4 linked regions of the Lonchura striata genome follow. The protein of the gene in region 1 purifies or fractionates together with the protein of each later gene. This does not show direct contact. Links are inferred from orthologs where the notes say so. Each region holds a gene or a part of one and is shown in the gene's direction. Other genes may lie near its edges. The genes, in order: SMARCE1, DPF2, BCL7A and BCL7B.

Region 1 (7,458 bases):
ATTTGGATCGATACAATAAAACCATTTAAGTCCTTCAAAAGAAAGGGTGAACAGCAAGGGGGTTCTGATTCCAAGAAACCCAAACTTCTACTGCTTTTATACTCTGGGTGCAGCCCTTTCATATTCTCATTGTTGTTGTTTTGTAGATTTTCACCAAGTGTTACAAAAATTAAACTAGAACTTTATAGTTTGACATATTCTGCCTTTGTAAAAGAGAACTTGTTTTCTCTTTCCAAAAATGAGAAATGCCTATTTGCTTCTCTTAATTATTCAATATTCCATTCATATAATGACTGGTGAATACTTGCAATAATTTATATCACAGCTGTCATACTTCTAGAAATATATTTTAAAATAATACTTTCTAACAGCAAAAATTACATATGAAAATACTCTTAAAATACATGAACTATTAACAAAGAGTTTTCTTTTAAAAGTGGCTAGTATTTTTAAATTCCTTTTTTTCAGGCAACAACTGAGCAAAAATATCTTACCTCTACATCCCTATACATCCATTTTAAAAGTGTTGTTACAATCCAGTAACATTTTAGCCATATTGCTCAACTGATTTTGAAGCAGTAATTTCCCCTGAAAAATCAATCATTTTCTTATGTGTCCACACACATCTGTACTACAAGTCTCTTAGCCAAGGCAAATGAAATTATTCTCTTATTGTTCAAATGGGAGGAATGAAACGATCATTTGAATACTGCTATTCCATTTTTTTTTATTATAACAATGTGCATTAAAATATCTTCAACAAATTTCTCTTCTGACAAACACTACCGATAAGTGATACTGTTGATTTTGTCCATGTGACAAGTCACTGTTACACCAGGGTACAACTGTTACTACTTCAAATTGACTGGGCAAAATAAGGGCTACAAATTCAAAGTACAATTCAACCAGACCCCTTAAGTACTCCCCACTCCTACCCAAAGTGGCTGTGGGCAAACACAAACCCCAACAGAAACCCTGCACCGGTACACAGAGGAACAGCCATCCTTCTTTAAAACCTTACAGGACAAATTTCAAACAAAGACTCAAACAAGATTGTATGAAGACAACAATGATTATTTGTGAGGATTCTGAAGAGGATGGATGTCACTGCTCCCACTGGAGCACCGGGATTGCTGGGGCTCAGAGTCTGGAGAATCCACACAGAGGATTTGCTGGATTACAACAGCACGTAAAGGATTGATTTCAGTGTCAGTATCTGCCTTATTACTTATGGCATGTGCACAAAAGTGATACTGCAGATCCTTTCAGAGTTAATCTATGCTTCTATCCTTTGTTCATGGTAAGAACAATGCATCAATATTGCCCCATCCTGTCTGTACTGTATCAAACTCGCTAATTATCCTTAACCTGAATCATGAGCTGATGTTATTACCACTTGAGTACTTGGCATCCTGAATGTATCAGCCTGCTCCAGTATTTTCACTATGCAGCTTTTTTTTTTGTGCTTAGACTCTGTACATTTTACAATACTTGAATTTAAACTAAGTTTTAATTGCTTTAAGGCACTTTAAACAGGGATACAAATTTACCAAAGTAAATGATAGTACTACAATAAAAAAAAAAGTATTAAAATGGAGTTTCTCTATGCCTATTTTGTGTGTGTCAATGTCTTCTCCTTAAGTGGAAAGTAAAAGAAAAATGCAAAATAAAAGTTGCAGATAGGAAAATCTGTAGCACTGTAACAAGTGTTTTCTCTGATCCTCTCCACAATTAGAAAGACACAAATTCCCTCAGAATCTTTACCATAACATGTGAGTGTCCTTCTGCTACAAAACTTACTCTTTTTTCCTGGCAAATCCAGTCACCCTGGCTATTTTCCTCATGTGTGACTTCCTAACACTGACTTCAGTAGCTTCTCCTACTTTAGGCCTGGTTCAAGTGGGCATTTTGGTTTTAACTAAGTTTTCACATCTTTCAGTAATTATCTATTTTTGCATTATTCACAAATTCCATCTCTCCAAATGTAAAGAACTCTCTTTTGTTCACAAAGTAGTTGGCTTCCACAAGTATCAGCGTGAACTCCACATAGGCATCAAAATAATAACATCTCACCCTCATTTTTAGGTCACTTTAAAGTGGAATTTAAAAAAAAAAAATTAACACTGAAGCTTAATACTGTGGCAGAGAAGTCTTAATTTCTGTGGTTCTAATTAAATCCAGACCAGCTGAGCCTCTGCCAACTAGCACCTGCAAACGGCTGATGTAAAAACGAGTTTTATTGTCTCAATCTACTTCCCAGTGAATGTCTGTCCTCATTCCAAAGCTTGTGAAATTGCTGGTAATTAAAACTGTTGGGTAAGAATTAGTTTTTACATTCCCCGCTGGTGAGCATAGTGCAGTGTAAACAATTCCATTAAATCAGTAAAACTACTTATATATTGTACAGGATATTAAAAAGTGTACGCTGGTAAAACCTTTCACTATCACATGATGGAACTGAGGCAAAGAGCATAGGAAGAAAAAAGGGGGAATAAAACAAAGTAGGAAATACACTGATGGCTTTGAAAATATAATGATTTAGAACTATTAGTATGGAATGTCAGTTTCCACAAATGTACTTGAACACCACAATAAACAATTCCGTTTTAAAAATAAACACATTTTAAATAATTCAAATTTTAAAATTTTGCTTTAAAATTAAAGCAAAAGTTAAAATAATTAATAGAAATTGCAAATTTTCAATTTTTAATTTAACATTAAATGCAATTTACACTATCAACAAAACTATGTTATTAGTAAACTAGAAGTGAATGTATGAAACTAGGGTGAACCTAGTCAAAAGCAGGAGGAAAACCAGGTTATCTTTCACCTCTTACATGTATTTTCTCACCTTTTCTTTACCTTTTCCTGCCCCAGTTAAGATGGTGAATTAATGTGTTGTATTTCGTTGGCTGAGGAACCTTTTCAACTCTTGCTTTAATATCAAATTGAAGTCACAGATTATTCTGCTATATGGCAACAAATGTCCATTGTGGGTACAGTCAGCAGAATCTAAGCAGATGAGGGCAGAGCTCTTGTCTCTTTATTTGTTCATAAAAATAAGTGTATTTAAGCATAAAAACAAATTGAGCCAGTGGAACTGGCAGGCATCAAGAAAAATGGCCCCAACTTGCAGCAAGTCATGTTCAGTTAGTTTTTCTTCTTTTCACCTTCTATCATCCTTTTGGGTTAGGCAGGTACCATCTCCTTTGGCTTTCCTTCGGATCCACCCAAATTCTCCCTCATGAATGTCTAGAAATACATCTTATTGGCCACGTGAGACCATTTCAATGCCAAACATTCCATTTCAACCTCAAACATTCAACATCAAACTTTCAATTTCAAGTTTCACTGCCAAAGTTTTCATATTTAATTCAGTCACTTTTGACTATTTTCAGTGTAAAAGACTCTTAAAGCTGAATGCTGAGGTCTGGAACTCTTCATCCTCCTCACACCCTCAGAGCCATATGCTTCACCTTGTTTGGTATTTGTGGGGGTTTTACCTATGTGTGATAACTTCGCTGATTTCTGCAAGGAATTGTGGACAATTCCACTGCTCCCAGACTACTGGGTACTTTATAATCCTGTCTGATTCAGCAGCAGAGTGTTTTGAGTTGGTCAGGCTGATTTAGTTGACAATTATCACATATTATCATATTTATTACCCGGGGCCATCTCGCTGCCTTCACAGCCGTCTCTAACGTCCCTTCCACTGACATTCTCCCACACCGGCACCTTCCCGCTGCCCTCAGGGCTCATCCTGCTCCACTCAGCCGCCTCTGGAAGCATCCCAAACAGCCCTTTCGGCACCACACTCTGCACAGACCACGGACGGTTCACCTGACTCCATCGCTGCTTTTATTGGATATTATTCGGGCTCGGACATGACCCCGCAGCGTTTTCCGTGGACTCAGGGCAGCCCAGGGTCCAGGACATTTCAGGTACCTGTCCGTGAGGGGGAATCTCCTCGGGGGCCGCGCGCAGCCCGTGAGGGGAAAAGGCGCCAAAATCGCCTCAGGGGCCGCGCGCAGCCCGTGAGGGGAAAAGGCGCCAAAATCGCCTCAGGGGCCGCGCGCAGCCCGTGAGGGGGAAAAGGCTCTAAAGCGCAGCGGGCACGAAGCGTCCGCAGGCCGTCCCTGCGCGCCCGTTCTGCGCTGCAGATTCGCCACCGGCAGCCAGCACTCGGGGCACCGTGACCGGGGTTGCCGGCGCGGGGGAAGGGGACGAGCACTGCGTCTCTAGGGCGCCTCGGGAGCCCTTGTGACACCCCGCGAGGCAGCGCCTCCGTGCCGCTAATGGCGGGCGGTGCCGCCCCGCGCGCGGCGCTCGGGTTGCATCCCGCAGATTCGCCGCGGCCCCTGGAATCGCCGCTATCCCGGAGGGTGCGGGGACGGCCCTGGTTCCTCGGTGGGGCGCGGGGCAGCCGAAGAGGGCCCCCCATAGTGAGTAGGGGATCACCGGCGGGCCGGGGCCCGCGTGTCGAAAGTGCGGAGCGGAGTGCGCAGGCGCCGTCGCCGCCGCCCCGGCCCGTGGGAACAAAGGGAGCGCGGCCGCGCCGAGCGGGTGAGTCCGAGGGGCCCGGCGGGGCCGGCCGGGGGGCTCGGGACGGCCCCGGCCCCTCTCCGGCAGCGCTGCGGGGCTCGGGAAGACCATTGAGCCCGGGGAGGGAGTGGTGGGACCGAGGGACCCCGCCGGTGGCCGCCTTGGGCCCGCAGAGGCTCTGCTGGATCTCCCAAGCCAGCCCTACGTGCGAGCCCGGTGCACGTCGTTAGTAGGGATTCTGGAGGAGGTTGCAGCTGCCCGTGGCGTGATTTGGAGAGAAACGGCGAAAAGGCACTTCGTTACAGCGCTGTTTGACGGGCTCCCGGGTTCGGTGCTAAAAGGTTAAGAATTGCCTGTCAGACCGCAGCTGCGGGGCTCGGTGGTTGTTGTATGTACTCTGTAAAGGAAATACATAATTTGGTCATTTACATATCGATATCAGATTTCTGAATCAGTGAGTGTAAAATAATGGGATATGTTCTTTTTATTCCTTACAGCAAAAAATATATTCATTTAGACCCTTTAATATGAAGGTGACCTAAAGCTGTGTGCTCTTACACAGCTTTTTAGATTCCTTGGAAAATCCATTAATTTTTCAAAGAGATAACAACTTGGTTTCTGAGAATGCTTTTGTCTGTATTCCAAAATTGACGAACTTTTATAATCACTGGTATCAATAACAATCGAAGCTTCAAATAACTGGTGGGGGGAAAGGCACAACACTTATTAGCATGTTGTTCTTTTGTCTTGCAGAAGTACAAATATAATGTCAGGTGGCTGAAAATTTGACTATCAAAATGTCAAGTAAGTTTTTTTTTTTTAAGATTTTTCTTTCTTTAGCTTTGATGTTTTACAGATCTGTTTCCGTGGAACCTGTTTGTGAGATGGTGCCATTATTCCTGGCATTAAAAGAAATTAGCAAGTGTAGTAACTAAACTCTTGGCCTTAAATCCTTCTGTGGCCAATTCCTGGCATATTGTTTTTGTAGGAAATCCAGATATCACAGCTTCTGAGTCCTATTGGACTGTATTTTTGCTTTCCCTCCATGTAATTGATGTGCATATAAATGAATTTCATATTCTTCAGTCTTGTGCTTGAACAAAAGTCTGGGACTAGAGTAATAGGAGCATTTCAATTTTTCTTTCTTTTTCTAGTGTTGCTTTTTGCTGTTCAGTGGCAAAAGGCAAAGTCTTTCAGAGTAAAATTTGCTTGTTTTGTAAAATCATTTGAAAATATTGGCCATAGCAGATGCCTTAAGAATTCGTTTAGATTTTCAAGGGGAAAAAAAAAATGTGCTTACATTTCTGTCTTAACAGAAAGGCCATCCTATGCCCCACCTCCCACCCCAGCTCCTGCAACCGTAAGTATAGTGATTTTTCTCATTAACACAAGGCCTTTAGTAACTTCCCAGAACAATAATTAGGGAGTTGCATCACCTTCCAATATGGGAAACACGATATTAATGTGCTATGAATTGTTTAAATTAATATAATTATTTTTGAGAAGTTTGGGAAAGAGAAGCCGAATAAACTTGTTTTGCCTCTAAGGCTGGATCTTACAGACTGAATTTTCTGTGAGCATTACTTCTCTCAAGTGACTCACAGTGGGTTGCAGCAGTACTGGAATAGTTAAGAATCAACTGGTACATTTGATTGTAAAATGTCCTACTCAGCCTGTGCCCAGATCATGGGCAGACAGTGCATTTTTCCACAGTTCAGTTGTACTGAGCTGCTTTTTTTTTTTTTTCCAATTGAGTGGAATGCAGGATTATGAAGCATCCTGTTGTATTGGATCAGAATAATGAAACACTCCTGATGCCAGTCTTGCATTCCTTGAAATCACTGGTATTTTGGAGTCTAGGGCATGGGAAATATTTTACTTTCTAGTAAAGTGGCATGCCCTGACACTGAGGAAAACATGAACAGGAGCTTTGTATCCCGCCCAGTGACATTCCTGGATGTACAAAGGTGCTGCAGTAGCAGTGTACCATGGGCAGGAACTGTTTGAAAATAAATGCACATCTTTGGTCACATTTGTGGGTAGTTTGAGTTTTAGGAGAAATCCTTTGTACAGAAGGTTGAGGAAAGATTCTACAGTGATTTTTTTTTTTTACCAAAGTGAATTGGAAGACTGTGACCCAGTAGTGTGTCCTTGATCTCTGCAGGATGGGAGTTAGAAGGAATGTGATCCTTCAAATTTTTTGTGCCATATTTTACAGGAAGAGGTTCGAAAATTATATAGTACATAAATACAAGTTATGTTTTTATAAGTTTATATAAATAAAACTGGATTTTCATAGTTTGCTCAGAGTTTTCATTTTACACACAGCAAAATAGATCTGTGGCAGTGTTAGAAGGACCATGATGGATCCCCTCTGACCACTGGATTCCTGCATCGAGAGCTGTGCATACACATGTGATTCCTTTGGGATATAGCATGAATACAGATGTTTAATGGTTCATGTTGATGTGGTACAGTTCTTCAGAAGGATACATGAAGCACATGCCAGGACTGCAACCAGTGACCTGCATTGCCTGTTTTACAAGCATCTTTTATTTTGTATTATATTTTATACAGTCCTTCATGTGTTGGTCTCTGCTCTGTCACAAAGTAGCCAAATAACCTTGCTTGTTCTTCCACAGCCAGTTCCAGGTGCTGCAGTCAACAAAATCTCAGTAATTCTCAAAACTGCAGTACTGTACCTGAAATAAAATTTCTCCGTGCAGTTCTCCCTGATGTAAGGTAGTTCCTGGTAACATTTAAATCCTGTCTTGCAGAAATAAAGAAATAAGCAGACGGCGATTACAATTGTCACCTGGTTTTATTGAAGAGCTGTAGTTCAACATATTCAAAGCCTGTTGTTATGGTAATACAAAAAACTGTAGTAAAACAGTGGCTTATGTCATGAGGCCAGGC
Region 2 (7,305 bases), on another chromosome or scaffold:
GATTCCAGCTCAGATCCCAGCTCGGATCCCAGCTCAGATCCCAGCTCGGATCCCAGCTCAGATCCCAGCTCAGATCCCAGCTCAGATCCCAGCTCGGATTCCAGCTCAGATCCCAGTTCTGATTCCAGCTCGGATTCCAGCTCAGATCCCAGCTCAGATTCCAGCTCGGATTCCAGCTCAGATCCCAGCTCAGATCCCAGCTCGGATCCCAGCTCGGATTCCAGTTCTGATTCCAGCTCAGATCCCAGCTCAGATCCCAGCTCAGATCCCAACTCAGATCCCAGCTCAGATCCCAACTCAGATCCCAGTTCTGATTCCAGCTCAGATCCCAGCTCAGATCCCAGCTCAGATTCTGGCTCTGATTCCAGCTCAGATCCCAGCTCAGATCCCAGCTCAGATCCCAGTTCTGATTCCAGCTCAGATCCCAGCTCAGATCCCAGCTCAGATTCTGGCTCTGATTCCAGCTCAGATCCCAGCTCAGATCCCAGCTCAGATCCCAGCTCAGATCCCAGCTCAGATCCCAGCTCAGATCCCAGCTCGGATCCCAGCTCGGATTCCAGCTCGGATCCCAGCTCAGATTCCAGCTCAGATTCCAGCTCAGATCCCAGCTCAGATCCCAGCTCAGATCCCAGCTCAGATCCCAGCTCGGATCCCAGCTCGGATTCCAGCTCGGATCCCAGCTCAGATTCCAGCTCAGATTCCAGCTCAGATCCCAGCTCAGATCCCAGTTCTGATCCCAGCTCAGATCCCAGCTCGGATTCCAGCTCAGATCCCAGCTCGGATCCCAGCTCGGATTCCAGCTTGGATTCCAGCTCATTTTCCGCCTTTCCTCTCGCCGGGTGAGGGTTCGCCCTCAGGGCAGAACCCCCGAGCTCTCCTCAGTGCCAGAGCTGACCACTGGAAACGCGACCCCGTGTCCGTCGGACCCCGCGGGATGAATTCCTCTTTTGGGATGAATTCCCAAAGATTCCGGCCAGGAGGATTTGGGGGCGCAGCGGGGTTTGTTCTGAACCGTCACGGCGCCGTCACTTCAACTCCTGCTCCGTGAAATCCTTTGGAAATCCCAGACGGGGCAATCTCCCCCGGGAGATCTCGCCAAAACTCCCCGTGGAGAAGCCAAAAGTCCCCGTGGAGGAGCAGGGCTCTTGTTTTAGGAACTCAATCCACGGAGGGGCCAAAAAACCCCTCTGGGGCCGGCAGGAGCGGGGCTGGGCTGGGAATCCTCGAGGAGACGCAAAACCAACCCAAAATCCCGATCCGGGCCGACGGATCCGCCGCCGACTGTTTGGGAGCGGCGGGAACGGGGAATTCCAGCTGGATTTTGGGGAATGGGACAAAAACCCAGCTGGACACGCTGCCGGTGACTTCGCGGGGCCTCCTTGCCCAGGCTCCTGTCACAAATTCCATCTTTTCCCGATTCCGGGGAGTTTGAGCCCAGAATGAGGCCGGGATCCCCCCAGGGCAGAGTCGGGCCCCTCCTGACCAGCGAGTCTAATTTAGATTATCTGACTAATGACTCATTAGATTCTCCTTAACGAACCCTTGTCCCGCCTCTTCCTTCCCCTCCCCCTCTGCGTCGGTAAACCGCTTTTGGTGCAAACACCCAGAATTTGGGGATAAACCTATTTCCCAACGTTTTCGTCTGTAAAATAATTAGCAGACCGAGGTTGATTGGGCTCGATCAGGTTTAATTTCTATTTGGTCCAACTCTTCCCTGCTCTGAACTCTTTTCTCCCCCCACACTCTGTCCACATTTTATTTATTTTGGGATTTTTCCTCGCCAAATCAATTCCAGCCGTTTCAGAGCCTCGTTTGCGATTAATTAACCCTCGGGACATTTGTGATTAATTAACCCCAGAGATTGGGATGGGAAGGTGGCTCCAGACACGCCACAGCTGCCACTCGGACCAACGTGAAGGGAAGCCAGCCCAGCACGGCTCATTTTGGGTGGATTTCTGTGGTTTGGGGGTTTTCCAGCGCGAGCTGGGCTGGGACAATGTGGATGGACTTTTTTTCCTGGATTTCACCCCAGTTTTCCTGGCTTCCACCTTAATCAGTGATTTGAAGATGGAGCTGTTTGTGCCCCACCTCGGCCCAGGAATTGCGAAACCGTCGCTGCCGGAGCGGTTTCGAAATAATCAAAATCAGCCAAAATCCCCTTTTTTCCTGTTTTGTCCCTTTTGTGTCCCGGTTTTTTCCCTTCCACAACCCAGGGCTGACTTTTGGGGTGCTCCAGCTTTAATCTGGGATCTCGTTCACTCGTTTCTGTTCTCTCTGCTCCAGTCCTGGAAAAGCTCCTTTAATTTATCAAATTTGGGGTTTTTTTAACCTTGAAAAGGTGATTTTGCTTTTCTCCCCCCCTCCCCTCCTTTCTCTCTTCCCTCCCTCCCACACCCCCCAGACCAACTTGCTATAAACCCCTGAAATTATCCCCAAAATTAGTGTTATTATCCCTGAAATGTTTTTTTTCCCTCAATCTCATCTCCTGAAAAAAAAAAAAAAAACAAATTCCTTAATTAACTTTTAATTAATGAATAAATCATTTGGGATCCCTTTCCACAGAATTGGAGCCTCCTTCACTTCTCCCCTAATTAATCACTCCCCGAATTAATGATTTATGCAAACCACAGCTGCTGATTTGCTCCCAATTCCAAGAATTTGAGTCATCCGGAGCAGCCCTGACTCAGCTCCCCCTCCCTTTTTGGAGAATAACTCCGGATTCAATCAAGGATGGAATCGTTCATTAACCCCAGCAGGGGCACAGGCCTCCCTCCCAATTTCCTCGTTATCCCGGGATTTCCGCTGGATTAACGCCGCCCACGCCAGCGGTCAGTGCCTGACCCCCGGCGTGGCCGGAGCCGGGAACGGAGCCGGAGCAACAGCCGGCCTGGGATTACCAGGAGGAGGAGGAGGAGGAGGAGGAAGGTTTGACCAGGGGGTGACCTTGGGGGAGAAACGCAAATTCCCAGCAAACAGGGAAAAAAAAACCCAGGTAGGATGTGGAAATAAGGAGGAAAAAGAGAGAGGAATTCACCTGGAAATAAATGGGGAATTCACCTGGAATTGAGGCACTCACTTGGAATGTGGAATTCACCTGGAAATAAATGAGGAATTCACCTGGAAAGGAAAACTCACCTGGAAGCTGCCATCAAACCACGCTCGCCGTGGGGTCTGTGGGTGACCTCGGTCCTGAGGGATGAATTTGGGGACACTTGGTTAATTCAGGTTGGAGAAAAAGGGAAAAGAGCTCAACAATGGGAACTTTTGGCAGGAGTTTTTGGGGATGAGGAGCCGTAAGGAATCTGGGGGGATCTGAGGGATCCATCCTCACTTATCCCTCATTTCCCCTCTCCCAGCTGTTCATCCCTCATTTCATTCCCCCATCCCCAATTTATCCCTCATTTCCCCTCTCCCAGCTGTTCATCCCTCATTTCATTCCCCCATCCCCAATTTATCCCTCATTTCCCTCCCAACCCTCACCCCTCTTTCCATGTTATCCCTTCCTTCCTCCATCCCTCCCCATCCTCCCTCTTCTCACCCCATTCCATGGAAAAGCTGAGAAAACCTTTGGGATCATCAAAATCCAACCCGGCCACCCCTGAACAGCGTCCCCATGTGCCACATCCCGGCTTTTTTTGGGATAACCCCAGGGTGGGACAACCCTTTCCAGGGACTTTCCTGAACAAACCTCCCCTGACACAACTCGGGGCTGTTCCTTTTGTTTTATCCATGGGGAGAAGGGATCTCACCCCCAGCCCCATTCCAGGGAATCTAGGGAGCAGTGCGGTCTCTCAAATCTCCTTTTTCCACGATAAACCCCCTCATCCTCTGCCATCATTTCCGCCCTCACTTTCTGTCCATTTTTGCCTCACTCTCGTGCTTTGTTCTCTCCCATTTTTCCCCTCAGTCTCCCCCCGTATCCCCCACTCTGCCTCCCACCCTCATCCCCACGCCCTCCCTTCCTCCCCGTACCTTCAGCCGCCCCTTTTTCCCGGATTTTCTCCTTTTTCGTGCATTTTCCCCCCTCAGATCCTTTTCCCGCCATTTTTCCCCTCAGGCTTTCGCCCCTCCCCCACTCCCCCTTTTCCCGCCTTTTCTCGCGCCCCCCCCCCCGCGCACGCGCGCGGCGCACAGCGCCCCCCAGCGGCCGGGAGGACTCCGCGCTCCCTTCCCCCGGCCCTCCCTCTCCCTCCCTCCGCCTCCCCTTTCCCCACCCTCCCTCTCCCCGCTCCTCCTCCTCCTCCCTCCATCCCTCTCCTTCCTCCTCCTCCTCCTCCTCCTCCTCCTCCATCATCCCCCTCCCCGCCCCTCCCGCCCCTCCCTCCGCGCACGCGCCCCGCGGCGCCCCGGCGGCGGAGCCAAGATGGCGGCGGTGGTTCAGAATGTGGTCAAGCTGTGAGTGCGGCTCCCCCCCCTCCCCGCACACCGCCGGTCTCCCCCCCGCGGCGCGGGAATGGTGCGGCCCGGCCGGGCGCGGGAAGCGGGGCCCCCCCTTGGCCCCGCGCGCGCCGGACGGGACCAAGCGGGCGGGCAGGGGGGTGGGGAGGAAGCGACACGCGCGCATTGTTCGCCGTGAACTTTGCTGAGGGGGGCGTTGAGGACACCCCAAAATCCTCCCCCGGCACCGGGAGGGCCGCAGAGGTGTGAGGGGAGAGCAGAGCCTGCGAGGGTCCCGAGGGGCCGGGGGGGTCCCGCAGTCTGGCCCTGAGGGGGTCCTGGAGAGGGCAAAGGCGGGGGTTCGCCCCTGGAAAATTCCCTGGATCGTATCCCTGTGCTTCCCTGTGCTCCCTCGTGTGGCCCTAAACTCCGTCTGCGAGCGTCCTGGAGAGGCCAAGGACGGGGGAGTCATCCCAGCGCATCCCTGGAGAGTCCCTGTGCCTCCTTCAGTATCCCTGAATATCCCTGAATGTCCCTGTACCTTCCTGCTTTTTCCTGCACTGCTTCCCAGCGCATCCCTGGAGAGTCCCTGTGCCTCCTTCAATATCCCTGAATATCCCTGAATATCCCCGAATATCCCTGAATGTCCCTGTACCTTCCTGCTTTTTCCTGCACTGCTTCCCTGTGCACCCCTGGAGAGTCCTTGTGCCTCCTTCAATATTCCTGAATATCCCTGAATGTCCCTGAATATCCCTGAATGTCCCTGTACCTTCCTGCTTTTTCCTGCACTGCTTGAATATCCCTGTACCTTCCTGCTTATTCCTGCACTGCTTCCCTGTGCATCCCTGCCAGAGGGTCCTGTGGAGGCCGAGCTGGGGGGAGCTTCCCTGTACTTCCCTCGAAATCCTTGTATTTCCCTCAAAATCCCTGTATCTCCCTCGAAATCCCTGCATTTCCCTGTATATTCCTGTGCTTCCTTCTAATTCCCTGTATTGCTCTCTAAATCCCTGTATTTCCCTGTGTATTGCTGTATTTACCTTTAAATCCCTGTATTTCCTGTAAATCCCCGTATTTCCTGTAAATCCCTGTGTTTTCCTGTCCATCCCTTGGCTTCATCTCTTCCCTTCCCGCCCCTGTGAGAGTGTCCTGAAGAAGCCAAGGAATGGGAAATTGGAAACTTTATTCCGGAGGATTTCCACGTTTATTCCTGATATTCTCCAGGATTTTGTCCCTGAGGGTTTCCAGGTTTATCCCTGATATTCTCCAGGATTTTATCCCCGAGTCTCTCCGTTTGTATCCCTGACACTCCCCTGGTATCCCTGACATCCCTGAGAGGTTCCCCATTCCCTGTACCCGTCCCTGCCAATCCCGGTGCCAATCCCTGCCATTCCTTGTGCCAATCCTTCCCATTCCCTGCGCCATTCCCTGTACCCATCCCTGCCATTCCCCGTCCCATTCCCTGTGCCGTTCCCCGTGCCCATGCCGCCTTTCCCGGTGCCGATCCCGGCGTTCCCAGCACTGATCCCTACCAATCCCCGTGCCATTGCCTTTGCCAATCCCTCCCATTCCCTGTGCCATTCCCTGTGCCCATCCCGGCATTCCCCGTGCCCATCCCTGCCATTCCCTGTGCCAGTCCCAGCATTCCCGGTGCCGATCCCAACACTCCCAGCACTGATCCCTGCCATTCCCAGTGCCTATCCTGGCATTCCCCATGCCCATCCCTGCCATTCCCAGTGCCCATCCTGGCATTCCCGGTGCCAATCCCGGCACTCTCAGCACTGATCCCTGCCATTCCCTTTGCCCATCCCTGCCATTCCCTTTGCCCATCCCGGCATTCCCCGTGCCCATCCCTGCCATTCCCTGTGCCCATCCCTGCCATTCCCAGCACCAATCCCGCCGTTCCCTGTGCCCATCCCTGCCATTCCCAGCACCAATCCCGCCATTCCCTGTGCCCATCCCTGCCATTCCCAGCACCAATCCCGCCGTTCCCTGTGCCCATCCCTGACATTCCCAGCGCCCATCCCTGCCATTCCCCGTGCCCATCCCGCCGTTCCCTGTGCCCATCCCTGACATTCCCAGCGCCAATCCCGCCGTTCCCAGCGCCCATCCCGCCGTTCCCGGTGCCCATCCCGCTGTTCCCTGTGCCCATCCCTGCCATTCCCAGCGCCCATCCCTGCCATTCCCAGCGCCAATCCCGCTGTTCCCAGCGCCAATCCCGCCGTTCCCACCACCAATCCCTGCCATTCCCTGTGCCCATCCCTGCCATTCCCAGCGCCCATCCCGCCATTCCCAGCGCCCATCCCGCCGTTCCCTGTGCCCATCCCGCCGTTCCCAGCGCCAATCCCGCCGTTCCCGGCGCCAACGCCGCCGTGCCGCGGTGCCGTTGCAGGCTGGGCGAGCAGTACTACCGGGACGCCATGGAGCAGTGCCACAGCTACAACGCGCGGCTCTGCGCCGAGCGCAGCGTGCGCCTGCCCTTCCTGGACTCGCAGACCGGCGTGGCCCAGAGCAACTGCTACATCTGGATGGAGAAACGGCACCGCGGGCCCGGTACGGCGGGGAAACGGCGGGGAAACGGCGGGGAAACGGTGATGGGAAATGGCGGGGAAGTGATGGGAAACAGTGGGGAAGTGATGGGAGAATGGTGAGGAAGTGATGGGAAACGGCAGGGAAGTGATGGGAAACAGTGGGGAAGTGATGGGAGAATGGTGAGGAAGTGATGGGAAACGGCAGGGAAGTGATGGGAAACAGTGGGGAAGTGATGGGGAACAGTGGGGAAGTGATGGGAGAATGGTGGGGAAGTGATGGGAGAATGGTGGGGAAACGGCGGGGAAGTGATGGGAAATGGCAGGGAAATGATAGAGAACAATGAGGAAATGATGGGGAACAATGGTGAAATGATGGGGAAACAACAGGGAAATTATGGGG
Region 3 (6,974 bases), on another chromosome or scaffold:
TAACCAGGGCAGGCGTGAGGAGCCACCTGCCTTCAGATTTTAAATTGAATAATCACTTGTCTTGTCCCAGCTGTGCTTCTTTTACTGCTCTGGAAATCTCTGCTGGCCTGAGGTATCTCAGCTGTTAAATGATAAGTATGGATCTTGGCAAAATGTATCCTTCTCCCAGTGTGCCCTTATCTGAATTGCTGTTTTCTCTTCTAGTCACACAGGTTCTGGAAAAGTAGTATAAAATGGATAAAAGGGACACAAGAAAGGAGGGATGAAATTGGTCCTAGGCTGCACCCAGTGTGAAAGACTGAAAAGATGGGATGATTCAGTTGAGCTGAATCAGGGAGAACACCATAAACGTGGGTGTTAATTTGTTTGTGGCCAGTGCCATAGAGTGCTAATAACAAACTTCTATTGTCTTACTTCTGGTGTAAAAGTGTAGCCGAGCATTAAAACAGGTAAAGGGAAATGCTGATTTACTCAGTACATCACTTGGCAAGACTCCTTGCCACAAAGATCCTTGGAAACCACGGATTCAACCAGTGTGAGAAAGGTTAGCTATTTATACAGATGGTGTGAACATCCATAAATAGGTACATCAGATAGAACAGTTTCATAACAGATCTATAACCTCATGCTCCAGGGCGTGAGCCAACCACTAACTGGGAACAAGTGCTGTGTCCATGTTATTTCAAGATACTAAATTAAGACTTTTCTCCACCTTTCTCTTCCTCTGCATGAAAATGGCTACATGGACTGTGGTCTCTGCCAGGAATTCTCCAGTGGGAAGAGAAGCTCAAGCCCCTGCTACTACAGTGTTGCTTAAAGAGCAGTCTGCATCATAATTTCTTCTTTTGATTGACATTTTCCCCCAAAATGCTATAGAGAAGACAATTTTCCTTAGGATCAACATTTTCCTGCATTGGAATCATGTGTTTCAGTTGGCACTGTATATGTCTCTATCTCAGAGAAGCCAGGTCCTCTTTTGAACTGTCCTGTTTAGTTTAATTGCAGTTGCTTTTGAGTTTTTGTGCTATTGACCCCATAACCCAACGGTGGTGGTGCTCCATTTTGTACAGGGGAGCAGATGACAGAGGACGAGCTGGCTGAGTGTCTGACCACCCTGCTGGGCAGGAGACCCAGGAAAGAAAGATCTGAACTGGACACCTGCGATCCCACAGGTACAGGATTAGCATTCCACACAGCAGAGAAGCAGGACTGTTTAATTCCCAAATGGAATAATTTAAATTTCAAACCCATTTACCCTGTTAGGCCAAGAGCTGTCAAAGCTGCTCAGATGGGATTGCAAAAATAGTCACAGAGCTACAGACTGTCCTTCATCCACGCAGCAATTGCACGGGTGTATCTAAAAATAAATGGACAATGAACTATAACTAGGGCCTGACAAGATTACATTGCTGTTTATCTGCTGGCTGGAACTGAAATTAGAAACACACAGGGAAATCCCAGGGCTGGTTTCACCCAGGCCGCAGTGCCCATTGTAACAGAGCTGTTGGTAACGAGAGCATTTGTCTGCAATTTATGTCCCAGTCCACACCAGTCTGGAACAGCAAATTATAGCATTGATTTGAGCCAAGAGGCTGAATTTAATTGCCCATTGTAATTGGAACTGCATTTTTGTACAATTCATGTCCCAGTCCCCACCAGTTTGGAACAGAATCTGTTTAGGGTCACTGGCAATGGGCGCCATGCAGCAAAGGTGCTGCTCCTGAAGGGAACTTTGAAACTCTGAAATCCCTGGATCCCTCAGGATCCTAAATCACATTAAATTGACCAAGTGTTAAAGTTGTCCCATGACTCGTCTGAGGCAGGGACCTGCTGCAAGGTGAGACACACAGATTTGACAGGCTTAATTCCTGATATAAACACATAAAGTATCAAGCTAGTAAACTGTCACTTTGTCATGATCTCTTTGTACATCTTTAAAAACATTTCATTCACTTATTGCTGCTTATAAATTTTACTGGAGAGCAATTTTGACATGGCTTTTGTGTGTCTTCTGATGCTGTTATTGCTCTCCAGGTGCAGCAGCTTTGATTGAAGAAGAAATTCCAGCAGAAATCACAGCAGAGATATTTGTTGCAGACATTCTTGGCTTACCTATTGCTGAACCAGAAAAAAAGAACACAAGGAAAAAGAAGAATCTTTGATCTACAAAGGCACAGAATCTAGCGACCACTAGATTTTCTGTTTATTCCTACTTTCCAGGATCCTCTCCTCAAATATCTGCAAAATTTATGGCTTGTGTTTATTGCAAAGTAAAGGTCACATAGTTAAATTTCAGTCAAACTCTAGAGTAAGTCCCCAGTTTGGGCCATGCCACAAACCTGTAATTTCACACCTATATAGGGAAACATTGAATGGCTGGAAAGAATGAAGCAGGTGGCCACTCCATCCTTGGCTGGAACATTCCCAGAAGTCATTTCAGGTGGGTTTATGCCAGATGCAGTCTATTTTCATTACGTTAAGACAGTATTCATTTGTGAAACCTGACAGCAAAAGAGCAACGTAAGAGTATTGTATTGATTAAATACATTGATAAATGCTTTGACAGGTTAGAATGGATTTGTAATTATAAATCCAATGGACCTTGGTAAAGAAATAAATGCTGTGGTACACATTAAAACCACGCTTCTCTTTTGGCCTTTAAACTGACTTTTTCTTTCTGAAAGTAGAGATTCCAATTAGCAGTGTAATACCAATGGGACGGCATTACTCTGTGTGTGTATAAACAGCATAATGAGACTGATACAAGTTGCTGTAGAAAGATCAGTGAAGTGCTGTTGAACAGCTTCCTTCTTTACATCATCCTTGGCATCAATTTGAATAATAATGTAGGCCCTTAAGAAGCGTTCCTTTCAGAAGCAATGTTTTTTAAACAGAGATCGCTGTTGTGTACTCAGAGCATCTGTGATTGTACAATTAGCAACAACAGCAAGGTGTGCATTAGGGAGAAGTTAATGAAGGAGTCCAGCAGTACCACACCAGAGCTCGCAGGTCTGTGACAAATTTCCTGCAGAGCATCACCTCCCATGTAACTCATTTAGCCTTTATGCTCATGTAATTCCATGGATTTCTGTCGGAGCTGAGCCTCCACTGCTCAAAAGCAGCCCAATTCAATGGATATTGCTGGAATTAGTTAAAGCAGCTGAGAAACTTTATAACCACTGGGGAAACAAACCTAAAATCTGCTGATTATGGATTTATGCTTCGTGTAAAACAGGGGACTTCATCACACATACCCATGTTCAAGGTCTGTCATGGCAACTGGTGCAAGGATAGGATGGATGTTTGTCACTGCCCTGTACAAAAATAGGTATTATCTCTATGTAAAGTGTTTTGAGGTTTGTAAAAACCCTGGATTTTAGGACTGGATTTTTCTTTGTGGTAAAATGTAACTGAGCTCTTGATGCTGCTAGACTGCGTTGGATTATCACAGAATCACGAGAACCAATTTGGTTGGAAAAGATCTGTGGGATCCAACCCTTGACGGGTCACCACCTTGTCAACTAAACCATAGCACCAAGTGCCACATCCAGTCTTTCTCTAAAGGATTACACCGCCTCCCTGGGCAGCTCCTGCTGACCCTTTAGGGTGGAGGCGAGCTGAAATCGGCAAAACTTTTTAGTTCTGGGGTAACTTACGGCCTGAGCTGGGTGGGAGTGGGGAAAGAACGTTGTCTTGTGTTCTCTCCAGCGAACGCTCGAGGCAAACCAGCGACGGGAACTCCGGAAGCGCGCGGGGCGGGCGGCCGCCTCCCGGTTCTCCCCCGCGGGGGCTCCTTCCCGCCCGGTGGCTCCTCCGCAGGGCCGCGCGGGGCTCGGAGCCCGCTCCGCTCCCTCACGGCCCCGCCGCTCTTCCCGCCGCCCGCCGTCCCCTCACGGCGCCCGCCCCGCCCCTCCCCGCCGGCCGCGCGCGTGCGCGGAGCGCGGGCCCCGCCGGGCGGGCGGGCGGAGCCGAGCGGAGCCGCCGAGCGCAGCCGTGCCGAGCCCCGCGCAGCCCCGGCATTGTGCGGGCGGGCGCCCCGACACACGGACCGAGCCGCCGGCCGCGCCGAGCGCCGCGTTCCCCGCCGAGCCCGCCGCCCCCCAGCAGCATGTCGGGCCGGTCGGTGCGGGCCGAGACCCGGAGCCGGGCGAAGGATGATATCAAGCGGGTGATGGCGGCCATCGAGAAAGTGCGCAAATGGTGAGCGGGCCGCGCCGCGCCGGGACCCCGCGCCCGCGTCCCCCGCGCCCCGCGCCGGCCCCGCGCGGCTCCGGGGCTCGCCGGCGGCCGCGGGGGGCGGGGAGCCGGCGGCACCCAGCAGCCATTTCGCTCCGGCGAGTCACATGAAGGCGGCGGCGGCGTGTGAGGGCGAGAGGCGGCTCCATTGTGCGGCCGAGCCCCCTCCCCGCCGCCCCCGCCGCTCCCCGCGGACCCCGGCCCGCCGCCCCTCGCCGCGGGGCCCGGGCCGGGCGCCTCGGGCATGGGCGGGCGGCGGGGTCGGGCCGGGCGCCTCCCGCCGCCGGCCCCTACAAAGGGCCCGAGGAGCGGGCCCGGGGTGGCTCCGCCGCCCGCTCTTCTGGGTGGAAATTGTGCTCGGAGAAGTGTTCTGGAAAAAAAGAAAACACGTTAAGAATACCCCTCTGAAGCTCCCGAGAGTTTATTTTTTGTCGTTGCCTGTTTGTGGATTGATTTCACCTCCCGAGTTCCCGGGGTTTGTGCGTAAAAGCGCAGCAAACCCGAGCGCGATCGTCTCCCACTGACTCTACGGGAGAGAGCGCGAACTGCCCCTGGAACCTCTCTTAAATCATCAAATTATAGGTTATACCCCGTGTGAAGTAAGTCCCTTTTGTTAGGCCTTCAGCGCGTTTTGGCATTTCCCCGCTTTTGTCTTTTTTCCCCCTGCTTTTGTTAGAAAAACCCACACGAGGTGTTTAAACAATACAGTGCAGCGGTCGCGCCGTGCTCTGCATGGTCGGTCCGGGGATTTGGGATGGCATAAAGAGCAGTGCCGCTGTGACTCAAGAGTGAATCTTTCTTCCAGCAAGTTGCCTGACTGTTCAGCAGTCTCTGTGCATGTATCTTAAAATACTTCCTTTAAACGTTTGGAATCCACGAGGAAATTTCCTTGCATTATTGTTACTGTGCATCATTCAGCTGGTTTGCAGGTTTGAAATCAAGGGGACACTTCTATTGTCCTCCTCACCTAACGCTTTGTTTTCGTTAAAAAAAGAGCCAAAGATAGAGTTGAACGTGTTCGTATTAGAGTGAAATGGTTTGTTAAGTTTTAAATGGCTTTGAGCACACGAATGGGCCCGTTGGCGTGAGCCGGACAAAGAATCGGGACCGGGACGTGTGTCCAGGAGCACCGGGCACGGGACGGGGATTTCAGAGAATCCAGCCTTTGTGTAGGGAGCCGGAGCAGCTCGGGTGGTTTCAGGAACTCTCTTCTACTCGGGTTTGTTTTTAAGTGCAGTTTGCTGACTGCTGGGCCGGCTTTGGAAGGTCAGAACAATGTGCAGCGGTGTGACAGGACTTTTGTTCCAGCTGGAGCGTGGTTGGATGTGTGGGACTGTTCTGTCTGTAGGTATTTCATTCATGAGCTCTGCACGCTCCCTTTGAATCCTGGTTTGTGGAATTCAGAGAGGAGTAGAGACAGAAGCTTGGCCATTCAACAAAATACCTAATTTATTTATTTTTTTCTTGGCAAGGACTCTCTGCCATCATGCCAGTTGCTATGGCTCTTTCTGTAAAACAGAAATCTTGTGGTATAAATAGATTTCTCTACATTTTAACCTTCACGATAGACAATTGCTGTAGAGGGTTCCTGTAAGTCATTCAGTGTTTCTGTTGATTATTGTCAGAAGTATCAATATGACTTTTTGTGCGTGCACCTCACAAGTATTTACATAAAGCAAATTTCTTATTTTTAAAGGAATCATAATTTGCAGTTGAATCTCATGGTTACCCCCCCTCCACCTGCAGTCAAATACAGCGGGAAATTAGCTAGAGAGATTCTGTGTTTTGTGGTTTCAGTGTTTTGAGAAGACTTGGCTTGTTAAATTGAACTTTCCACACTAGCAATTCCTGCATCTTCAGAAGAGCCACATCGGCAATTTCCAAGTGTGCAGTTTCATTTGCATAATAGGAGCAATTTGTTGCCATCCACAGCTCTTCTGTGGAAATGCAGCCACTGAAAATTAAAATACCTTGCGTCCAGCATTTCCTAGAAGAGAGTTTTGTGAGACTTGTGTGCTCAGAGCAGTGCGTGCCAGGGATGGGCAGGGAGACAGACGGGGCTGGGAACTCATCCGAGTGGAGGATGGCTTTATCCAAGGCATCATCCACCTGTGCTTGGTGCTCCCGAATCCCTGTGCTGCCACAGGGATGTGAACGTGCCTGCTGGAGGGCAGCTTCCATCAGGGCAGACTTTGTTCCTCAGAAAATCAGTGTTCCTGGACAGCCAGCACTTGGATGCAGCTCCTCTGTCTTCCTGTCTGCTCACAGAGCACGTGGCACTTCTGGTTATTGCTGGAACTTAGTAGTAAACAGTGAAGTTGTTATGTTTTTATCGTGAGATTACTGTAACCTTATCTCCTTTGTTTAAACCACGCTCATGAATGAGCATCTGTTTTGGAAAACACGCAGCACGTGGCTTACAGAATACATGGTTGCCTTGTGTTTGTGTGGCAGAAATGTTAAATTTCCACAGTAAGTGAACAATTCTACCTTTCTTTACCAGTACTTAAAATTCTTCTGTCAGTCTATTTTAAAAAATCCTCTGAGATTACTTTGTCTCAATTAATGGTACAGGATTGTTTTTTTGGCTTTAAAAGTTGATGGGTACATGTAGATTCCAAGTGGGCTCTCAAGAAGAGAGGGACAAAAACTATTGTGCCCTCAACCAGTACTAGAAAAATACTGAAGACACTCTTGTTTTTTGTCAAAGTCTGATTTATTAAATGGGGGGAAATACA
Region 4 (7,586 bases), on another chromosome or scaffold:
ATATCCCTGTGCACAGCTTGCTGCCCCCATGGAAGGTATCTGTTGAGGTCACTGCCAGCTGACTGCAGCTGCAATGTGCTACTGAGTCTCTCCAGTGGCCAGGGGAGCTCTTGCTGGGTGGGAAATTTGGTGGAAGAATGTGTTTTGGCTTTTTGAAGTGGTCTCTTCTGGAAAGAGAGAAAGGGATCTTGTTTCCTCGTATGGATAATAAATTTCATTCTTTTTCATTCAGTGTTGCAGTTGAACCAACACAGGGAGAGAACTTGGTGCCCTTGTAAATACTTTCATCTGGCAGCATATCCCTCTTCCCAGGTGCCCCTGAGTGACCTGGGCTGAGCTGGGGCTCAGAGCCTGTCCCTCCACAGGGCTTTCATTGTCTGGCTGGCCAATGCTGAGACTATTCGCGTCTACAAGATGACCAAGAAGGATGATGGCAGCTTCACCTTCACTGCGACTTCTGGGGACTTCCCAAAGAAGCACAAGGCTCCTGTCATTAACATAGGGATTGCAGAGACAGGTATGGAAATGAGCTGCTCACCTCTCCAGATAAGCTTTTATTTCCTTGTGAAGCTGCTTGATTCAAAGTGTTGGAGTTTTTGGCATTCTCGGGGCTGTGTACAGCATCAGTACTAAACTCTGTACTAAACTCTGTAGTCTATTAGGGATTTTTTTACTTAATTTGCTACCAACTGAACCAAAAGGTGTTGTTTTCACACCAATAATATCCCTGTAACCAGCTCCTTGATATGCACAGTTTCTTAATTTACATTTTCAGAGATGCTGTTGCAAAGAGGTCTGGCCTCAATATTGAGAGGATTGCTGTTCTCTGGGCTGCCAGTCTCTCTTTAACCAGTGAGAAATCTCTCTAGTGAGTTAATATGGTCTACCTTGAGCTTCTGGGATCATCTAGAACAGAGGTGGGGGTGGGTGGGTGGAAATTACATTTTAGTGGTGAGGGCTTGATGGATTAATGTGTCAGGTATGTGCCAGTGGCAGTTGGGAGCAGGTGGATGTGAATTCACCTCTGTAATAGGAGGTCAGGTAAAATATTAACTGAAACTGGGGGTGTGAAAGTGAAAACTTAAACCTGCAACAAGTAGCTGGAAGGTAAACAGGCAACTCCCTGCCTGGGCTGAAGTGGCAAAGGGGAAATGGGAACAAGCAGGAGTCCAGTATGGGCACAACCAGCAATAATGGATCGTGGTCTGTGGATCATGGTTGTGACTGGGATTCAGTTGCCTGCCTGCAATCCATAGCTTGAAAGGTGCTTATCCTCAAGCTGATTTTGGGCATGCAGATCAGGTGAAGTGTTTGTTCCTGTATGTGGCACAGCCCAGTGGGGCTGCACATGGGGCTCCCAGCTCTGCTTGTGGGGCTCAGAGTCCTGAGTATAGGGCACACATGGGCTCAGTGCCTGCTGCCTGCTTGGGAGCCAGGGGACTACTCAGGCATAACCAGGAGCTGAGTCTTCTGATACTGCTCTTTACTCTGTCCTAGGAGACTGACACTCCTTGGATTTTGGTGCTGCTGGTGGTTTTCTCCAGCTGCAGGGAGAGGTTATCCTGGGGCTTCATTGAGTCTGTGGCAGTGTTAGGTCTGGGGGCTCTCCTGAACTTTGCCTTTTTTTCCCCAGGGAAGTTTATCATGACAGCTTCCAGTGACACAACCATCCTGATCTGGAGCCCAAAGGGCAAAGTCCTGGCCAGCATTAACACCAACCAGATGAACAATGCCTATGCCACAGTGTCACCCTGTGGGAGGTGAGTGACAGGCAGGATTCCAGGCTACTCTTTTGCACAGCATAGCATCAGTTCAGACCATTGGCAGTTAATTGTTATTGCAATGCAGTTTTCTGAGGGTTCCACAGTTTAAAAAGATATCTTGGCCCTCCAGGAGATGGAGCTGATGTGGGGTCAGGCACTCTTGTGTTGCTATTCTGCCTCAGCACTGCTGTTTTGGTAACCTGAGAGCAGCTTTGGTCTCAGGTAGCAGGGGTGGGACAGAGCAAATGCCCTCTGCAAAGAAAACAGCATTTTGAACTTGTCTGTGACCTCTTAAAGGTTAATTATAAAAATAAAGATTATTTTCCTGGGAAATCTGTTAATTGGGAAAATCACTTGCTGCTGTAGCTGGATTTGCCTTGCTCCTGGCATGAGGAGTTTGGGGATCCATAGCATTTAGCTCTTCTACTTTGACCGAAGAGTTTCTCATTCCTGAGTTGTTCTGGTACCCTTCCTTAGTGTTCCCTTTACCAGCTAGGTTTCAGAGAAAAGTGGAAATTCAGCTTGAGTGCAGGAGTCAGGATGGATTTGCAGAACTGTGGCCCTGCCTTGCTCAGGTTCTCTCTAAGAGGCAACCTGTGTCTCTGCTTCTGTTCCTTCACACAGGTTTGTGGCATCCTGTGGCTTTACCCCTGATGTGAAAGTGTGGGAAGTGTATTTTAGTAAGAACGGAGACTTCAGGGAGGTGACCAGGGCTTTTGAGTTGAAAGGCCACACTGCTGGTGTACAATCCTTTTCCTTCTCCAATGACTCAAGAAGGTATGTGTGTTACCTGCTCCGAGTTACCCTAACAACATGTAAGCTCATCTCTTCCAGGGTTCACCAGCTGCATCACTAAACTGCAGGGGGTAAAACACTACCCTGGGGAGCCAAATCTAGCTCATGCCACCTATGTATTCCCTGCTCATAGGAATCTCATGTGGTTTAACAAGACCAAGTGCTGATGCTGCACCTGGATCAGGGCAACCCCCGGTATCAATCCAGGCTGGGGATGAACAGACTGAGAGCAGCCTGGGAGTGCTGGTAGGTGAGAGATGGACATGACCCAGCCCAGAAACAGCACATGGGTAACAAAGGAGAGGGAAATTCTGCCCCTGTGCCCCACTCATGTGAGACCCCACTCGCAGAGCTGCCTCCAGCTCTGGGGTCTTAGCACAGGAAGGACACGGGGCTGCTGGAGTGAGTCTAGAGGAGACACCAACATGATCAGAGGGATTGAGCAGGTCTGGTATGAGGAAAGGTGGAGAGAATTGGAATTGCTGAGCCTAGAAAATAGAAGGTTTCAGGTTATGTAATTGTGGCTTTCTAGGACCTGAAGGGAACTGACAAGAAAGATGAGACAGTATTTACAGGGGCCTGAAGTGACAAGATAAGGGGGAATTGTTTCAGACTGATGGAGAGTGGGTTAGGTGGGACATTAGGAAGAAAGCCTTGGTTGTGAGGGTGGTGAGGCCCTGGCACAGGTTGCCCAGAAAAGATGTGGCTGCCCCATCCCTGGAAGTGTTTGAGGCTGTATTGGAAGGAGCTTGGAGCAGCCTGGTCTAGTAGTAGGTTTTTTGCTTTGGAAAGAGAACAGAGACTGTATCTGTGTATTGACTCACCCTTCCCAAGAGATCTCTCTCCACAGGATTCCTGGTTCATGGGCAGGGCAGGGTAAGAGGTGCCACCCTTTTTCCACACACTCACCGTGATCTCTTTTGGCTGCAGGATGGCAACCGTGTCAAAGGATGGCACATGGAAGTTCTGGGACACAGATGTGGAGTACAAGAAGCAGCAGGACCCATATCTGCTTCTGACAGGGCAGTGTGCAGTGCCGGAGCCATGCCGCATTGCCCTGTCCCCTGACAGCCGCACGGTCGCCGTGGCGGGCGGCACAGACATCGTGGTGTACAACACACGGCACGGTGAGGAGGAGGAGCATTTTCTTGGCGTGCACAGCCACTGTGTCACAGACCTTGTGTTTGACACCACCGGCCGCTATATCGTGTCCTGTGGGGATCGTGCTATCCATGTCTTCCACAACGCTGCTGGGCATCGTGCTGTGGTGGAGGAGATGGAGGCCATGCTGAAAAAAACTGGCAACAAAGCCATGCAGGAGAGGCTGGAGCAGCAGATCTCCAGCGCTCACAAAGCATTGGCTGCTATCTATGGCAAGAAGTACTAAGCTACCTGTACAGCAGGAGGCAACTGCACTCTCCCTTGGGGGTGTTATTTTTTTTTAAATAACTGTGAACAGCAATAATAAACAGAGTGCCCAGGTTCTTCCTTGCGTGCTCTGTGATGGCAAGACAGGGCTGGGGACAGTGGCATCTCCTAGTGTCACATTCATGTGTTGTTTTCCCCTCAGGGCTTAGATCATCAGTATCCCATGGAATTGATTGCTAAGGCAATGCCTATGAGTTCTCCTGAGCTTAGAATTGGGAGTTGCGTGCATTTGGGGTAGGTTTTATGGTTAGTTGTTTCGTTTGTTTTTTTTTTTCCAAGAGAACTGACAAAGTTCAGTGTTGATACTGAACGGTAGGGATTCAGCTGCAGGGAACGGGGCAGTGCTGTAACGGTGCAGCGGACTCGGGGTGGCCCCGTTCCCTCGGCCCGGGATCTCGGGGGAATCGAGCAGCGGGACGTGCCCCACGGGAAACCACCGCTGCACCGCCGCTTCCCGCGCGCGTCGTTTCCGCGCCCGCTGTCAGACGCGTGCGTCTGCGCAGGCGCAGCAGCCGGGGCGTGTCGGGCGCGGTGACGCAGGAGGCGCAGCGCGCGGGCGGGCCAGGCAGTGCGCGTGCGCGGGGCCGGGTGCGCCGGCGGGTGCGGCGGGGCCGGTGCTGCGGGGCTGCGCGCGCCATGTCGGGGCGCTCGGTGCGGGCCGAGACCCGCAGCCGCGCCAAAGATGACATCAAGAAGGTGATGGCGGCCATCGAGCGCGTCCGCAGATGGTGAGGGCGGGCCCGCGGGGGGGGGAGGGGGAGGGCCGCGCCGCCCGCGCGCGGCCAATCGCCGCGCCGCGGGGTGCGACTCGGAAGTGCGCGCCCAACCAGCGGGTGCGGGCGGAGGGGCGGTGGCCAATGGGGTCGGGGCGGGGACGGAAGCGGCTGTGATGGGCTTTGAGTGCAGCCAATGGCAGTGCGGTGGGCGGGGCAGCCCGCCCGGTGCGGAACTGACGGCGCTCCGGACCAACCGGAAGGTGGCGGGGGGCGGGGCTTGTTGCCATGGTGCCCCGGCCCGGCCCGGCCCCCTCGTGTCTCGCAGGGAGAAGAAATGGGTGACGGTGGGTGACACGTCCCTGCGGATATTCAAGTGGGTGCCAGTGGCGGACAGTAAGGAGGTGGGTACCGCGCGCGGAGACGAGCCAGGAGCCACCGCCCACAGCCAGCCTAGCTCCCTTAACTTCAGCTGAGCTCCGAGCCTTCCCCAGCCCTACCGACCACCGAGCCATCCCTGAGCCTCCCGATTCCGCCGAACGCCGCCAAACCCCCCTGAGTCCCCTCCAGGTCGATCCCTGAGCCCTCTCCAAGCCAGCACCTGAGGCCCCGCTGAGCCCTCCCAGCCCTGCTGAGGACCTTTGAGGCCCCACCGAGCCCCTCCTGTCCTATTGTGATCCTCCCAGCGCCCCCAAGCCCCTGATCCCCCCCCAAGCTGACCCCGAACCCCACCAAGTCCCTGTCGAGCCTTCTTGGGCCCCCCTCCCAGCCCCAACAGGCCCCTTCAGCCAACCTGAGCATCCCCTGAACTGTCAAGCCCCCTGAGCTCCCTTGAGCCCCCTCCTGCTTCCCTTAAGACTCTTTGCTTGACTCCTCCAAGGATTTGCTTTACTCAGTGTCATTCCTAGATGGGCGTCTGCTCCTCCTCTCTTTTCCTGCTTTCCAGTCCCTTCATAGATGGAGTTTTTTCCTCTCACTTAGGAATGTGCCCCCAAAGGCAAGGGAAAAAGGCCAGCTTGAGCACATCTCTCTGGGCTTCTGGAGACAGAAAGGGGAATGGCTCCTCTGGAGCAGCATGTGTTTCTCTGACATTGTGTTTGTGCTTTTCTTTCTCTCCTTAAGAAAGAGAAATCCAAATCAAGTAGCAGCACGGCCCGAGAACCCAATGGCTTCCCAGCTGACACCTCTGCCAACTCCTCCCTCCTTCTGGAGTTCCAAGGTGGGTCTGGCTGAGCTCCCTTCAGCATGGGGAAAGACTCCAAGGCTGTACAGCAGCTGGGACATTGCTGGTTCTCTGTGCTGCCTGTATGGAGAAGAGCAGTGCTTGCCTCTGAGCACTGGTGTGGACTAGAGAGCTATGAAGTTGAGCTGTGGAGTTGGGCTGATCCACTTCTGGATTGTTTCTGTCTAAACTGTTCCTTTTTGCTGTTAGAGATTCTTAATGGGCTGTTTCTGGACTCTTTTGTGGGAAGCTTCACAGCTGACTAGAGGAGTGGGGTTTCCTGATCACCCCTTTCCATTCTCTGCTTGGGAGAGTCCAGTAGCCACCTGTAGCCAAGATTGCTTTTCCAACAGTTATTTCCATGGACCTTAGGGTGAAGGGGCAATGGCTCTCCGTGGCCTTGCTCTTGGTCTAGGCACTGTGGTGCAGCCAGGAGAGGCTCTGGCAGAGCAAGACTCACTGCTGAAATAGAATGTACACATCTCCCCAACCCCTTCTCTGTGTGTGGCTAAGGAAAATCAGGAATTTGCTGGCACTTCAGGAGATGTGGTGGGGTTATGTTGCAGATCTGCAGTTTGGCAAGGTGTGTGTCAGGCCTGCTTTCTCATGGGAGACAGGTGCTGAGTATTAATCCTTGTGTTGCTTCACAGAGAAGGAGCAAAACCCTAATACAGAGCAGGAGATTCCTGCTCTTTGGATGCCCAGGGCCCTCCCAAGCTGCAGATGTGGAATTTGGCAGTTCTCATTCCCAGGGCAGGAACATTCCCTTTGCCATGGCCAGTTATGTATATGATTCCCACTGTGTTCTGGAGGACTCAGTCCTGTGCCTGACAGCCCTTAGGCTGACGGGGAACAGTGAATCCCCTGGTTAACTCTCTGACCATGCTCTGCCATCTCAGCAGGACCTTGGGCTGCCTGTGCCGCTGTGTCAAGGTGCTCTTCTTCACCAGGTGCTGTTTCTGCAGATGAGAACAGCAACCAGAGCTCCTTGTCTGATGTATACCAGCTCAAGGTGGACAGCAGCCCCAACTCCAGCCCCAGTCCTCAGCAGAGTGAGTCTATGAGTCCTGCCCACACGTCTGACTTCCGTACGGATGACTCGCAGCCTCCTACCCTGGGGCAGGAGACCCTGGAAGGTGGGTGCTGGGCCAAGAAGGGAGCAGGCAGATGGGTGGGCTCAGGGAAGGCCACTCCAGGGCTGTTGCAGGTCTGGTGGGTGGCCTTGGCGCTTCTGGAAGCTACCAGGGCATCGGGGACTTCTGTAGCTAGGTGTTCTATCCTGGTTCAGCACTGAGCTGGGTGCTGGCTCTGCATTTTTGTTGACCCACCTGTTCTCCCCAGAGCCCTCCCTGCCTTCCTCAGAAGTGGCAGATGAGCCTCCCACTCTCACAAAGGAAGAGCCAGTCCCTCTTGAGACTCAGGTAAGGGAAGGGGGATTGAAGCCATCTCTAAATGTGCTTGGACCCAGACTGGCCCTTTGACCATTGTTGCTACTTCTTGTAGCTGAAGCATCTTGGTGGATGGACTTGCTCTGCAGTCCCAAAGTGCCCCCTGGGAGCTCCCAGAACCTCCTGGTTTTCTGAGCTTTGGTCTTTATCCCCTGGTTCAGATCAAGTGTTGAAGTGTGAGGGAAGGATATGGGGGTGTGCGAAAACTACAATTCTG

What was found.
Region 2: the proteins of SMARCE1 (region 1) and DPF2 purify together in Homo sapiens (affinity purification with mass spectrometry; 9 studies listed by BioGRID and IntAct, counting the BioPlex papers as one, with this or other methods). This does not show direct contact. The link is inferred for Lonchura striata from reciprocal best matches to the Homo sapiens genes SMARCE1 and DPF2.
Region 3: the proteins of SMARCE1 (region 1) and BCL7A purify together in Homo sapiens (affinity purification with mass spectrometry; 4 studies listed by BioGRID and IntAct, counting the BioPlex papers as one, with this or other methods). This does not show direct contact. The link is inferred for Lonchura striata from reciprocal best matches to the Homo sapiens genes SMARCE1 and BCL7A.
Region 4: the proteins of SMARCE1 (region 1) and BCL7B purify together in Homo sapiens (affinity purification with mass spectrometry; 3 studies listed by BioGRID and IntAct, counting the BioPlex papers as one, with this or other methods). This does not show direct contact. The link is inferred for Lonchura striata from reciprocal best matches to the Homo sapiens genes SMARCE1 and BCL7B.

What each region holds. Positions count from the first base shown.
Region 1 is NC_134627.1:6,813,744-6,821,201, forward strand, and holds the start of SMARCE1 (SWI/SNF-related matrix-associated actin-dependent regulator of chromatin subfamily E member 1), read left to right. Parts: upstream 1-4,439; 5' UTR 4,440-4,563; intron 4,564-5,295; 5' UTR 5,296-5,339; coding exon 5,340-5,346; intron 5,347-5,858; coding exon 5,859-5,902; intron 5,903-7,458. UniProt on the Homo sapiens protein: Involved in transcriptional activation and repression of select genes by chromatin remodeling (alteration of DNA-nucleosome topology).
Region 2 is NC_134638.1:227,760-235,064, forward strand, and holds the start of DPF2 (zinc finger protein ubi-d4), read left to right. Parts: upstream 1-4,298; 5' UTR 4,299-4,363; coding exon 4,364-4,395; intron 4,396-6,766; coding exon 6,767-6,927; intron 6,928-7,305. Other genes in the region: uncharacterized protein LOC110478861, read left to right, coding at 1-843. UniProt on the Homo sapiens protein: Plays an active role in transcriptional regulation by binding modified histones H3 and H4. Is a negative regulator of myeloid differentiation of hematopoietic progenitor cells. Might also have a role in the development and maturation of lymphoid cells.
Region 3 is NC_134620.1:12,285,026-12,291,999, reverse strand, and holds the start of BCL7A (B-cell CLL/lymphoma 7 protein family member A), read left to right. Parts: upstream 1-3,972; 5' UTR 3,973-4,108; coding exon 4,109-4,200; intron 4,201-6,974.
Region 4 is NC_134622.1:786,564-794,149, reverse strand, and holds the start of BCL7B (B-cell CLL/lymphoma 7 protein family member B), read left to right. Parts: upstream 1-4,572; 5' UTR 4,573-4,622; coding exon 4,623-4,714; intron 4,715-5,027; coding exon 5,028-5,103; intron 5,104-5,821; coding exon 5,822-5,918; intron 5,919-6,820; coding exon 6,821-7,057; intron 7,058-7,262; coding exon 7,263-7,342; intron 7,343-7,586. Other genes in the region: TBL2 (transducin beta-like protein 2), read left to right, coding at 366-517, 1,634-1,760, 2,388-2,540, 3,489-3,945. UniProt on the Homo sapiens protein: Positive regulator of apoptosis. Plays a role in the Wnt signaling pathway, negatively regulating the expression of Wnt signaling components CTNNB1 and HMGA1.